Linked DNA regions of Arabidopsis thaliana. The protein of the gene in region 1 interacts with the protein of each later gene in a biochemical or structural test. Each region holds a gene or a part of one and is shown on either strand. Other genes may lie near its edges. The genes, in order: ATB' BETA and RCN1.

The links.
Region 2: the proteins of ATB' BETA (region 1) and RCN1 form a complex in vitro, tested with the Arabidopsis thaliana proteins (one study listed by BioGRID).

What each region holds. Positions count from the first base shown.
Region 1 is NC_003074.8:3,027,355-3,032,966, forward strand, and holds ATB' BETA (Protein phosphatase 2A regulatory B subunit family protein), read left to right. Parts: upstream 1-2,116; 5' UTR 2,117-2,547; coding exon 2,548-3,708; intron 3,709-4,238; coding exon 4,239-4,577; 3' UTR 4,578-5,045; downstream 5,046-5,612. Other genes in the region: AT3G09863 (uncharacterized protein), read left to right, coding at 1-69; AT3G09870 (SAUR-like auxin-responsive protein family), read right to left, coding at 201-542; AT3G09890 (Ankyrin repeat family protein), read left to right, coding at 5,324-5,501.
Region 2 is NC_003070.9:8,949,223-8,955,758, forward strand, and holds RCN1 (ARM repeat superfamily protein), read left to right. Parts: upstream 1-1,939; 5' UTR 1,940-2,088; intron 2,089-2,451; 5' UTR 2,452-2,477; coding exon 2,478-2,870; intron 2,871-2,964; coding exon 2,965-3,211; intron 3,212-3,407; coding exon 3,408-3,520; intron 3,521-3,653; coding exon 3,654-3,733; intron 3,734-3,954; coding exon 3,955-4,096; intron 4,097-4,179; coding exon 4,180-4,260; intron 4,261-4,442; coding exon 4,443-4,547; intron 4,548-4,632; coding exon 4,633-4,815; intron 4,816-4,896; coding exon 4,897-4,989; intron 4,990-5,159; coding exon 5,160-5,299; intron 5,300-5,398; coding exon 5,399-5,465; intron 5,466-5,554; coding exon 5,555-5,677; 3' UTR 5,678-5,938; downstream 5,939-6,536. Other genes in the region: AT1G25480 (aluminum activated malate transporter family protein), read left to right, coding at 8-277, 377-513, 607-753, 1,040-1,654; AT1G25500 (Plasma-membrane choline transporter family protein), read right to left, coding at 6,215-6,394, 6,486-6,536. UniProt on the Arabidopsis thaliana protein: The A subunit of protein phosphatase 2A serves as a scaffolding molecule to coordinate the assembly of the catalytic subunit and a variable regulatory B subunit. Seems to act as a positive regulator of PP2A catalytic activity.

The DNA.
Region 1 (5,612 bases):
ATCGAGAGACCAAAGGCATCAGATGAAGCTGCACAAATAGTGTGGTATCAAGCTCCCTCAACCAAATAATTGTTCCGGGGTAAAAATGAACTAGCACCAGCATAATATATGTAAACACATGTTTATGTAATAAGAGAAAGAATGGTAAATTCTTGTAAGCAAAGAATTTCAACTAACAATGTTGCTCTACAAATCAAAATTCAAGACTCTCTACTTCCTTGTAGAATCTTCTGTACTTCTTCCGGCTGGCATGGGATGGTCAGAGGTCCTCTTGGTTGAAACCCGAATTCCTCTCTCGCTTGTTCGAGCAGCCTCAAGAACTCTGGTTTGTTCAACTCTTCAAGCTCTAAAACAAACCTCTTAATTCTCTCTCCCTTAACCGCAATCACTGCTACATGCCCTTCCTTCACATCACTTGGAATCATTGATGCAGCATTACCCTCTTCCTCAAACTCACAATAATTCCCTACCCTTTTAGAGAATCTAGTGAATAAGCAGCAAATTTGTAGCTTTCTCATGAAAATCTTAAACTTTTTGCACATTCTCAAAACGTCAACAGTAGAAGTAAAGCTCTGATTAGTGTTCTTTGCTTCTTCTTCTTCTTCTTCTTCTTTGGTGGAGTTGTTGCATTCTTTTGGGTTAGAGAGTTTGGTTTTATACACTCACCATTCATAGTTAGGAAATTTCTAAGAGATTTCTTGATTACAACATTTAATGCAATCCCCCATTTGTGTATCAGCTGTTCTCTTTCTTTGCTCTCCTGAGAATAGTGGGGCCTCACAAGAACACGCTTCTGCAGTCCAAAAAGTGTAACTTCACACCTCTTTCCTTTGTAATTAAGATGGTTGATCCCTCTGGTTCAATCTTTTATCCTTGTTAAGAACTTAAGAATCTTGAAGGACTTTGATTATTTACGTTTTCACTACAAATCAAAGTGTATGGCACAAGTAAAATTACCAAAACAAAAGGACTTTGATTGTTTAGGTTTTCACTAAAATTCACGCATTTGAAGAATTACTTTTCGTGTTGGGTTTGTTGTATATACTCATAGTCTCCTACTCCATTACATTTGTGCCGACACATAAAAGAAGTGAAGAAATTGTCATTATCTAGAGAATAGAGTATTTATCGTATAACATGTCAACTACCTCGTGGTCCGGTCTGTACGGAATCATTAAATGTTTGTTCAAATTTTCTAACACCGTTGCGTACTTATAATGTAATGTAACCCCACTGAATTAAGATATAAACAAAATTGTTGTAAAAACAGAGTACTATGTGAAAACAGAGGAATTTGGTCTTTCTTTGGTCTAAGTTTAGGACCAGCCCTCCTCCCACTAGTAAATACCAGTGCAGTGTGAGGGATTTAAGTCATTCTTTCTTTATTTTTGTTAAACTATTAATTGGTTACAAAAAGAGTGAAAATTTTAAAAAATGAAGAAAATGCATTAATATTGTATTGGTAATAGTAAAATGTTATGTGAATTCTTAAAAAGAAAGTTAGTTGAAAGAAAGAAAAAAAAAAACACGTCAGCATGTGAATTTTAGATGTTGTTGAAAAACATTGGTAAACTAAGGTCTTCTTATATTGGACATTCACATGGACATGGATCATGAAGTTATGTGGGCTACAAGAAAAATAAAATATTTTTGGCCCACTAATCAAAAAGTTTCTAGCTACTCTAGTCTCATTAACAAATCCAAGGAATTTGGGGTGAGTAAAGTGTAAACACTTGACCAGTTTATTATAGAGTCACTTAGAGAGTATTTAAATAATTCAAAACTTGGATTACTTACCAAATAGAGTAAATCAAATTTCAGAGTTCTTGAATTCGCCACTATCTTCTAACTCACGGAAGTTGCTTTATTTTTGTTTCTACTTAGAGATGATAAAACAATTTTGTAATCAGCAAACTCTTCTTTAACCTAAAGTACTTATATCAGAAACCACATTCATGAGAAACCATACTTAAACCTAATGTTAAACGAGAAAATAATTAACCACCTTCAATTTTTGTTAGTGGATAAATAGAGTACCAAACAAAATAAGTGGACAAATTTTAAATAAATAAAAATCTATGGACACTCAAGTTGTAATTTATTTTCTCCGTATCCATTTTGATTTTAGTCCCTTTGTTCCCATTTCTCTCCTCTCTCTCTCTTTCTCGCTCTCTTCCTGATTTGATCACCGGAAAATCTTAGCCGTCCGATCAACCACCGTGTACTCCGAGAAGATCTCTTCGATTACTTCAACGTTCTTCTGATTTTCACCAGCTCAGATCTCCGACAACATTCCGGTATCATTTCTCGCTTTTTTTTCCTCCAAATCCTTATCCGCCAGATTACGAAAATGAGGAGCTTGATCCGAGAGAGGCATAGTGAAAGCTTATCTGTGAATTCTTAGGATTTGAATCTGAATACTCAGGCTTTTTGATTCCTTCTCCGTTACATGCTGATTCAATTTTGAGCTCCCCTGCTAGTGTAAATCTCCTCAGCTCGGAAACTTAGGGTTTAGTTTGGGGTCCTTTGCTCTTCGTTGCGTAAGCCATGTTTAAGAAAATCATGAAAGGTGGGCATCGAAAGCCCTCTAAATCCGAAGCTAATGAACCGTCTAGTTATGGGATTGGTCTACCTGATAATAGGTCAGGTCCTGGCTCCAATGTGGTCGTTAGTCACGCTTCTCGTGGTGCATTGGTTAATTCTTCTCCGTCGCCAGTGACTGCAACTCCACCTCCTCCGCCTTTGGGCTCGGTGGAGCCACTCCCGTTGTTTAGAGATGTGCCGGTTTCAGAGAGGCAAACTTTGTTCTTGAGGAAACTTCAGAATTGCTGTTTCCTTTTCGATTTCACTGACACGATTAAGAATGCTAGAGACAAGGAGATTAAGAGGCAAACGTTGTTGGAGCTGGTGGATTTTATACAGTCTGGATCTAGTAAGATCTCAGAGTCGTGTCAGGAAGAAATGATTAAGATGATTTCTGTTAATATTTTCCGGTCTCTCCCACCAGCATCACACGAGAATACGGGTCAAGAGCCTGCAGATCCTGAGGAAGAAGAACCTTATTTGGAACCTTCTTGGCCTCACTTACAGCTAGTTTACGAGTTGCTCCTGAGATATGTTGTTTCGACTGACACTGATACAAAGGTGGCCAAACGGTATATCGACCATTCTTTTGTGTTAAAGTTGCTCGATTTGTTTGATTCTGAGGACCCAAGAGAGAGGGAGTATTTGAAAACGATTCTTCATAGGATATATGGGAAGTTTATGGTCCACAGACCCTTTATTAGGAAAGCAATCAACAACATATTCTATAGGTTTATTTATGAGACAGAGAGACACAGTGGGATTGGGGAACTCTTGGAGATTCTAGGCAGTATCATAAACGGGTTTGCATTGCCTATGAAGGAGGAACACAAGCTATTCTTAATCAGGGTGTTGATACCATTGCATAAGCCAAAACCAATCGTTGTATATCATCAGCAGTTATCTTATTGCATCGTTCAGTTTGTGGAAAAAGATTATAAGCTTGCGGATACAGTAATCAGGGGATTGTTAAAGTATTGGCCCGTGACAAACTGCTCAAAGGAGAATCTCTTCCTTGGAGAACTTGAAGAAGTTCTTGAGGCAACACAGCCTGTCGAGTTCCAGCGTTGCATGGTTCCATTATTCCAACAAATTGGTCGCTGTCTCACTAGCTCCCACTTTCAGGTTAGTCGTCGTGTTTGCAATGGTGTTTTTTTTTAATCCCCACATGGAAGGCTTATTATGCATATTACCTTAAATATGGAGATTTTGTTATTTAGCTCTTTTGACTCTGGTCTGATTTCTTCCCTGAAAAGAACTAGTGCTTCATCAAGTTTAGTGCAAATTGTTTTTTTTTGTTCTGTTTTTCTTTTTGCTTTGCCTCTTTCTCTTCATTTTTGCCACATGTTGATTTTCATTCATAAAATGATCTTGTTGGTACTAACTCTCATAAGTATGCGTTATATCTCATGCTTTTGATAGCTTCTACTCTGATTAAATCCTTGGATTCCTAGATCATCTTCATTTTCCATGATTCAGTTGTTTCAAAATTTATGGAGTGAATTAACTCTCTGAATGTATTGTTACTGTGCTTACTGATTTCTAGGAATCACACAAGTTTCCCGTTATGTCTTTGTGCAACAGCTCAAACTTTCCTAGAATTCTATGTGGGGTTTGCCTTATGCTCATATGTATATCTCATAAATCCGATACAGGTTGCAGAACGAGCACTGTTCTTGTGGAACAACGAGCACATTGTGGGTCTAATCGCGCAAAACCGAAGCGTGATCCTTCCAATCATATATCCCACACTGGAGAAGAACATCCAGTCTCACTGGAACCAAGCAGTTCATGGTCTAACCACAAATATCAAGAAAATGTTCATGGAAATGGATCCTGAACTGTTTGAAGAATGTCAGAGACAGTATGAAGAGAAACAAGCGAAATCCAAAGAAGTAGAAGAACAACGGCAATATACATGGAAGAGATTAGCAGAAGCAGCGGCGGAGCGAGATGGAGGAGGAGGAGAAGAAGATCATATGATCACTTCCTAGATCGATCAAAAAGGGTATAATTCTTTCACTTTTTTTTTTGTTTGTTCTCATTTTATCAAATGAGTTACTATATTAATTTTCTTATCAAACTTGGATTTGTTTGTTGTTTTGAGAATCATGGGTTCAAAATCTGATTGCTCAGAGAAGTAGAGAGAGAGAAGTGAGCCATTACTATCAGAGAATATGTCTTTAGTACTAAGAAATGTGTTTGTGATCTTCTGTCTAATTTTGTTCGTGGAAAGGCACTTTAAAATTTTGTAAAATTTTAATTATATATACTGTGGATGGATGTTTGTAGCTTGTGTTATTAGCCATCTCAAAATCCAATTTGGTTTTCTTGTTTTGATCCATTCTTACCCTACTTTTTGTGTTATTTGTATCAAAACTTTGAATTTGTATATAGGAGGAAACTAGTCTTCCAACTGATCCAGGACAATGTATTTGATTCCTCAATTTCCAAAAGATAAGAAGAGTTTTCATTTTAACTCTTAAGGTAAACTAAACACAATATCGTCTTCTTTATTATTAACCAAATTGGTTCAGAGCCATTGGACCGAAAACATAGACCGAGAGAATATACCAAGTTATATACAGTTAATTAACTGCGCCAATTCACCACGAGAAAACCTAAATTTTATTGAGGTAGCTTATTGCACGGCGGCGATTAGTTGTTTTACTTGTTACAAGAAAATCATTCCACGGCGGTGGAGAAAAAACAAAAGAGAGCGAGACAAAGAGAGACTACAATGGCTGTTCCAAGAGGAGGAAATGGTTTGAATGAAGAAGAAGATGTTGACGGAGAAAACGCTATCTTTGAGGAAAACGGTGTTGACTACGACACCGATTCCGAGCTTCCCTCTCACCTCCGTGACTTGGCCGCCGCTGCTCAGGCCGGAGATGTCGCCGCCTTGCGCACCGCCATCGGTACTTTCCTTACTTCTTCTCGTTGCTGCTTTTAACAAATTTCAATTTCAATTTCATCTTCAATTGCGTATTGCTTGATTAGCTGGTCAGACCAAAAAAGCCTCAAAATTT
Region 2 (6,536 bases), on another chromosome or scaffold:
CTATCAGGTTTTTCTGCAAGTTATTTGAAACTATACCCGGCGATGAAGTCGTATGAATATGCATTCAGGGTGTTTTTGTTGACATACTGTATTGTTCTTGTGTCTGGAAACAACTCTAGAGATTTTTTTAGCACTGCTTATTATAGGTTTTTGCTTATCCTGGTTGGTGCTGGTATCTGTTTGGGTGTGAACATATTTATACTTCCCATTTGGGCTGGAGAAGACCTCCATAAACTAGTTGTTAAGAATTTCAAAAGTGTGGCCAATTCACTTGAAGGTAGAGAGATACGTCAAATGGCTGTTTTCTCTTGTTTCGTTTCGGGTTTTGGCTGTTTTTTTATGTCTTGTTTTGTTTGTGCTTTCCTAAAACTTTCAGGATGTGTTAATGGGTACTTGCAATGTGTTGAATACGAGAGGATTCCTTCGAAGATTCTCACTTACCAAGCTTCGGATGATCCATTATACAGTGGATACAGGTCTGTAGTCCAATCTACGAGCCAAGAAGATTCTCTGGTGTGTTTTCCTTAGGACACTTTTGTTGAGCAGCAACTAGATAACTTGAAAAGGATTTAGATGATAAGATACGATGACCTCTTTTTTCCTCAGCTTGATTTTGCAGTATGGGAGCCTCCACATGGACCATATAAGACTTTCCACCATCCATGGGCAAACTACGTCAAACTTAGTGGCGCAGTAAGGCACTGCGCTTTCATGGTCATGGCAATGCATGGCTGCATTCTTTCGGAAATTCAGGTAACTTACCATATTCTTGTTAAATACAACTTTATCTATCATAGCAAATGAGGTGCTATAATGGTTATTAGAGACTATACCAACCTGCTTCAAATGCTACTAGTACCTCTTCGTGATTAACTAGACTGTTACTCTGAGAAGTCGGATATTTGTCATATAATTGTTGAGTAGGTGCAAAGTGGGATCTCCTAGTTTACTGTTGTTACTAGTGAATGGTTTTCTTTGAGTTCAATGCTTGTCGTATGCCCTATAAGACTTGTGATATCAATTGGTGTGGGATTTGCAGGCAGCTCCAGAAAAAAGGCAGGCTTTTCGTCAAGAACTTCAAAGAGTTGGAAACGAAGGAGCCAAAGTCTTGAGGTTGTTTGGAGAAAAGGTGGAGAAAATGGAGAAGCTAAGCCCAGGGAACGTTCTCAAGGATGTTCAAAGAGCAGCAGAGGAACTACAGATGAAAATAGACAGTAACTCCTTCCTACTTGTCAACTCAGAAAGCTGGGCTGCTATGAAAGAGAAAGCCGAAGCTGAAGAAGCGCAACAAAACTATCACGAAGCCAAAGACGACGAGTCTAAAGTGATTCAATCCCTCAGCCAGATATGGGACAATAACAACAACCCTCATCATCAGAATCAACACGCTGGTAATGATTCTCAGCTATGGATATCAACAGAGAGTATGATGCTTAGGAACCGCGAAAACTGGCCAAGCGTCTCTTTCATAGGCGGTTCTATGATCAATGAGATAGAATCCAAAGTATATGAAAGTGCGAGTTCTTTGTCGCTAGCTACATTTGCGTCTCTTTTGATCGAGTTTGTTGCAAGGCTCCAAAATATTGTTAACGCGTATGAGGAACTAAGCACTAAAGCCGATTTCAAAGAACAAGTTAGCGAGACACGGATATAGAAAAAGCTGGACTCTGGACCAGACTCAGTAGCTGCTTCAGCTCCAGGGATATAGTTGATTTTGTATAGAAAATTATATACATTATTGCTTTGTTTGTTTGCTGTCTTGAAATAAGTTCCTAATTCCTTTTTGTTTTGTTTTGGCAAAGTCATAAACTCAATTGGAAAGTTTTGTTTTTCTTTCATTGTATCAATTGAATCAACTGTTTAATTTTTTAAAGCAAAAAATTGATTAAAGCCCAACATAACCCAATCCTAAGAAAGCCCAAAATGGCCCAATTAGACACTTTCGTCATTTTATATCTTTCCCTTTAATAAATCCTTCGTAAAAAAAAATCAAACGCAGAATATTATTTTTCTCGCTCGCGAATTCCTCTTTCTCACCTTTTCTCGCTCCTGGGAATCTGAAGCAGTTCTTCTCCGACGCCTGGATCGGTAAGTTGATTTCCAGTTTCTTCTTAACGAATCATAAGATCTCATCTCTAAACCTTCATTTTCCGATTCACATTCCCTTTAATCCAACTTCGAACCGGTGAATCTGAACCCATTTCTCGCTTCTTCTGTTTTATTCATACCCGATTCGTTTCAAAATCTGCAGTATAGTCTTAATCTGTTTGTGCAAGTAGAGAAAAATCAATAAAGCCGAAGATAACACTCGAGTGGCTATAATTGTTTTTTCCCAGGATCTGTAAATGATTTCTCGTATTTATTACTAAATATTTTATTCGAGATCCGAAAATATCTATTGTTTCGTCTCTTATAGCAATGAGCTCATAGGAATTATTTTTGGTGTTGCAGTGATTTGATTCGAACTTTCACATAAGATGGCTATGGTAGATGAACCGTTGTATCCCATTGCTGTGCTTATAGATGAGCTTAAGAATGATGATATTCAGCTTCGTTTGAACTCGATCCGTCGCTTATCTACTATAGCTCGTGCTCTTGGAGAGGAGCGTACAAGGAAGGAGTTAATCCCTTTTTTGAGTGAGAATAGTGACGATGACGATGAGGTGCTTCTTGCAATGGCTGAGGAGTTAGGAGTTTTTATTCCGTTTGTTGGAGGAATTGAGTTTGCGCATGTTCTTCTTCCTCCTTTGGAATCTCTATGTACTGTTGAAGAGACTTGTGTGAGAGAAAAAGCTGTGGAATCGCTTTGTAAGATTGGATCTCAGATGAAAGAGAATGATCTTGTTGAATCTTTTGTTCCTCTTGTGAAGGTTAGTTTAGGAGATTTATGTAGCACTAGATTACGCCGTTTTGTTAGTTGGTTCAATCAAAGCTTTTTTTTTTGTTTTGTTGTTTGTCTTGTAGAGGTTAGCGGGTGGTGAATGGTTTGCAGCAAGAGTTTCTGCATGTGGTATATTTCATGTTGCATACCAAGGTTGCACTGATGTGTTGAAGACTGAGTTACGGGCTACTTATAGCCAGTTGTGCAAAGATGATATGCCAATGGTGCGAAGAGCTGCTGCATCTAACCTGGGGAAATTTGCTACAACTGTCGAGTCTACCTTTTTGATTGCTGAGATCATGACTATGTTCGATGATCTTACTAAAGATGGTACTTAATGTTTGAATATATCGTACTTTATATGTGCTCATCACTTAGAAATAGTTTGCATAGACCCAAGAGTATGGTAAAGAGATCACATTTGAATTAATAAACGCTGTTTGATGAAATATATTGGATACTTACCTCTTCAGAAATGTTTGTTTTATCTGTGCTTATATTGGTTAAACTTTAACCTTCATTTCAGACCAAGATTCTGTGAGACTATTGGCTGTTGAAGGGTGTGCAGCTCTTGGAAAGTTGTTGGAACCTCAGGATTGTGTTGCACGCATTTTACCTGTTATTGTTAATTTCTCTCAGGTGAATTGAGCTTTGTTTTTTTCATTCATGGATTTTTCAGTTAATTGTCTGCTGTTCCATGTTTAATTTTCATCGGTAAAAGCTTGCTGTTCTGATGTTTTTCTATGGTGTTTGTATTGATTTCTGAGAGCAGGATAAATCTTGGAGGGTGCGCTACATGGTTGCTAATCAGCTATATGAACTTTGTGAGGCAGTGGGTCCTGATTGCACGAGGTATGTGTTTTGTGACATTGTTGATTTTTTTGTCATCCTTGCTAATCTAGGCTTTCGTTCTCGTAAAACAGTTTTGTGACCTTCAAACAAATATGCATCTAAGAGCGTCTATTGGAAGTTTTCTTTATTCTTTTTCGTTCATATAAGAGCCTTCCATGGTAGTTCTATGTTTGTACATGTATCTTTTTATTTTGACACAATTTATGTTATAATATCTCTAGGACGGATTTGGTTCCAGCATATGTGAGATTGCTAAGGGACAATGAGGCTGAAGTGCGAATAGCAGCAGCGGGAAAAGTGACCAAGTTCTGTCGGCTTTTGAATCCAGAGCTTGCGATTCAGCACATCCTTCCTTGTGTGAAGGTAAGACTCCTTAAATTCTATATAAACGAGTTGTTTGATGTCCCCTGTCTCGTAATATTCTGATACATACTGATGTCTGGCAGGAATTATCATCGGATTCTTCTCAACATGTCCGCTCTGCTCTAGCTTCAGTAATAATGGGGATGGCTCCTATCCTTGGGAAGGTATGAACTGAAGATAGCCAACATTTTCGCATCTTGTGACAATGTTCTGAGATTTAATTTGTTTTATGGTTTTCATCAACAAAATCAGCCATACCTTGTGTTATGGCGTGGTTATACCAGCCCCAACTGGTGTTGCAGACCTTATCAAAAAATTATTAACATACTAAAATCTTTCAATACAGGACTCAACCATTGAGCATCTGTTACCAATTTTTCTTTCCCTTTTGAAAGATGAATTTCCTGATGTGCGCCTTAACATCATAAGCAAGTTAGATCAAGTCAACCAGGTTTGTTGCATCTCTCTTGTGTGCTTTAGATACTACTTTTATTGCTTCCTTATTTAGTTGGTGACTGAATTATCTTTTACGGCAGGTTATTGGAATTGATCTACTATCTCAATCCTTGTTACCGGCCATTGTAGAACTTGCTGAGGATCGGCACTGGAGAGTCCGACTTGCAATAATAGAGTATGTTCCACTGTTGGCCAGCCAGTTAGGTATAGGATTTTTCGATGACAAGCTCGGAGCCCTTTGCATGCAATGGCTGCAAGACAAGGTTTACCTTGAATCTTTGATGTTTGCATAAATTTCTCATTCACTTGTTATTGTAGATATTGACACTGTTCTCCTCCTTCAGGTCTACTCTATCCGCGAAGCTGCAGCAAACAACCTAAAGCGCCTCGCAGAGGAGTTTGGTCCTGAATGGGCAATGCAGCACTTAGTTCCCCAGGTATTCTTTGAGCATTTTATACTAAAACCATCTGTCTGTTTATCTTATTGTTGATCTATGTCAAGTACCTCACCTATAACATCTAATCTCCAGCTTTGGTCCCTTTTCTTTGGATATCACTAAAGCTGCAAATATTGAGATCTCCAGATTGACCTTTATCATATAAACAGGTATTGGACATGGTCAACAATCCGCACTACCTACACAGGATGATGGTTCTACGCGCAATATCTCTCATGGCGCCTGTAATGGGATCAGAAATCACATGCTCTAAGTTTCTTCCTGTGGTTGTTGAAGCATCAAAAGACAGGTACAATAGATAGATTAGAGGATATGAATAAGCCAAACTAGTTTAAGAACACTTCTTAGTTTTTAATGTGTTGTTGTTGCACACCTCTTATCTCTGCAGAGTTCCAAACATCAAGTTCAACGTTGCCAAACTTCTGCAATCCCTCATCCCCATAGTCGACCAATCAGTACGATCATAACAAACATAACTCAGTTATATCGAAAACTAATGGAAATTGTTGAATTTTAATGTTTTTGCCGTGTCAAAAATTTGTAGGTGGTGGACAAAACAATCCGTCAGTGTTTGGTGGACCTGAGCGAAGACCCTGATGTTGATGTTCGTTATTTTGCAAATCAAGCACTTAATTCCATCGATGGTTCCACAGCAGCACAATCCTGAATTGTTTTTTTTTCATATGTATGATCGTTAAGTTAAGTTTCTATTATTCGTGTTCTCTGCAATTTATTTGGTTTGTTTGTGTAAAACGCCATTTTGGTTGCTGGCTATGAACTGCAACTATTTTTGTTAGTAAAATTGTATTACCTTTTTTACACTTTCTGTTGTTCCAAACCTTATACATTCTTCTTAGTTTACTAATGCTAACACTACTCCCTTAGTGAAACTATTTGAGATAGAGTGAAATGCGTGTGGCTATGTTTGGTCTTCTGACTAGTTCTTGTTTCAAACTTTATCCAACCCCTCTAGATCAACTTTGTTCTATTCAATTGATTTTGTTTTTCTAATAAACACAAAAATCAATACATTAGATTTTGATACAAACGCCCACAGCCTCCTATTCATGATTCAACAAATAGAAAGCATAAATCATTTGACAAAATAATTTTAGCCACAAGGGTTAGCCCGCTTTTAGCACCCTCTAATAGCATAATATTCTACAGTTATATCTCCTATTTTCCAAGAGGAGGCATAGGCTAATCAAGCGGTCGTCAAAACTTCACGGGCTCGCGAGCTACGATGTTGGAGACGACGGTGAAGCACCTCAGACATCTCAGTGTAGAAATCAGCATCCCATCTCTGAATCAACAAAGGATCTTCAGCAAAACATATGTATATCGATGTCACAGCGCTTTCGACTACCACCATTCCTAAACCCACCTGAACACCACATTGGATCAATGAAACAAAGTGAACAAGTTGGTCATGTAATTTTTTGGGTGACTAAAAGAGTGCACAAAAGAAAACTCACAAGAACCATTCCCATCAACATAGCCGTAGATGCAACCATTATAACTCGGTC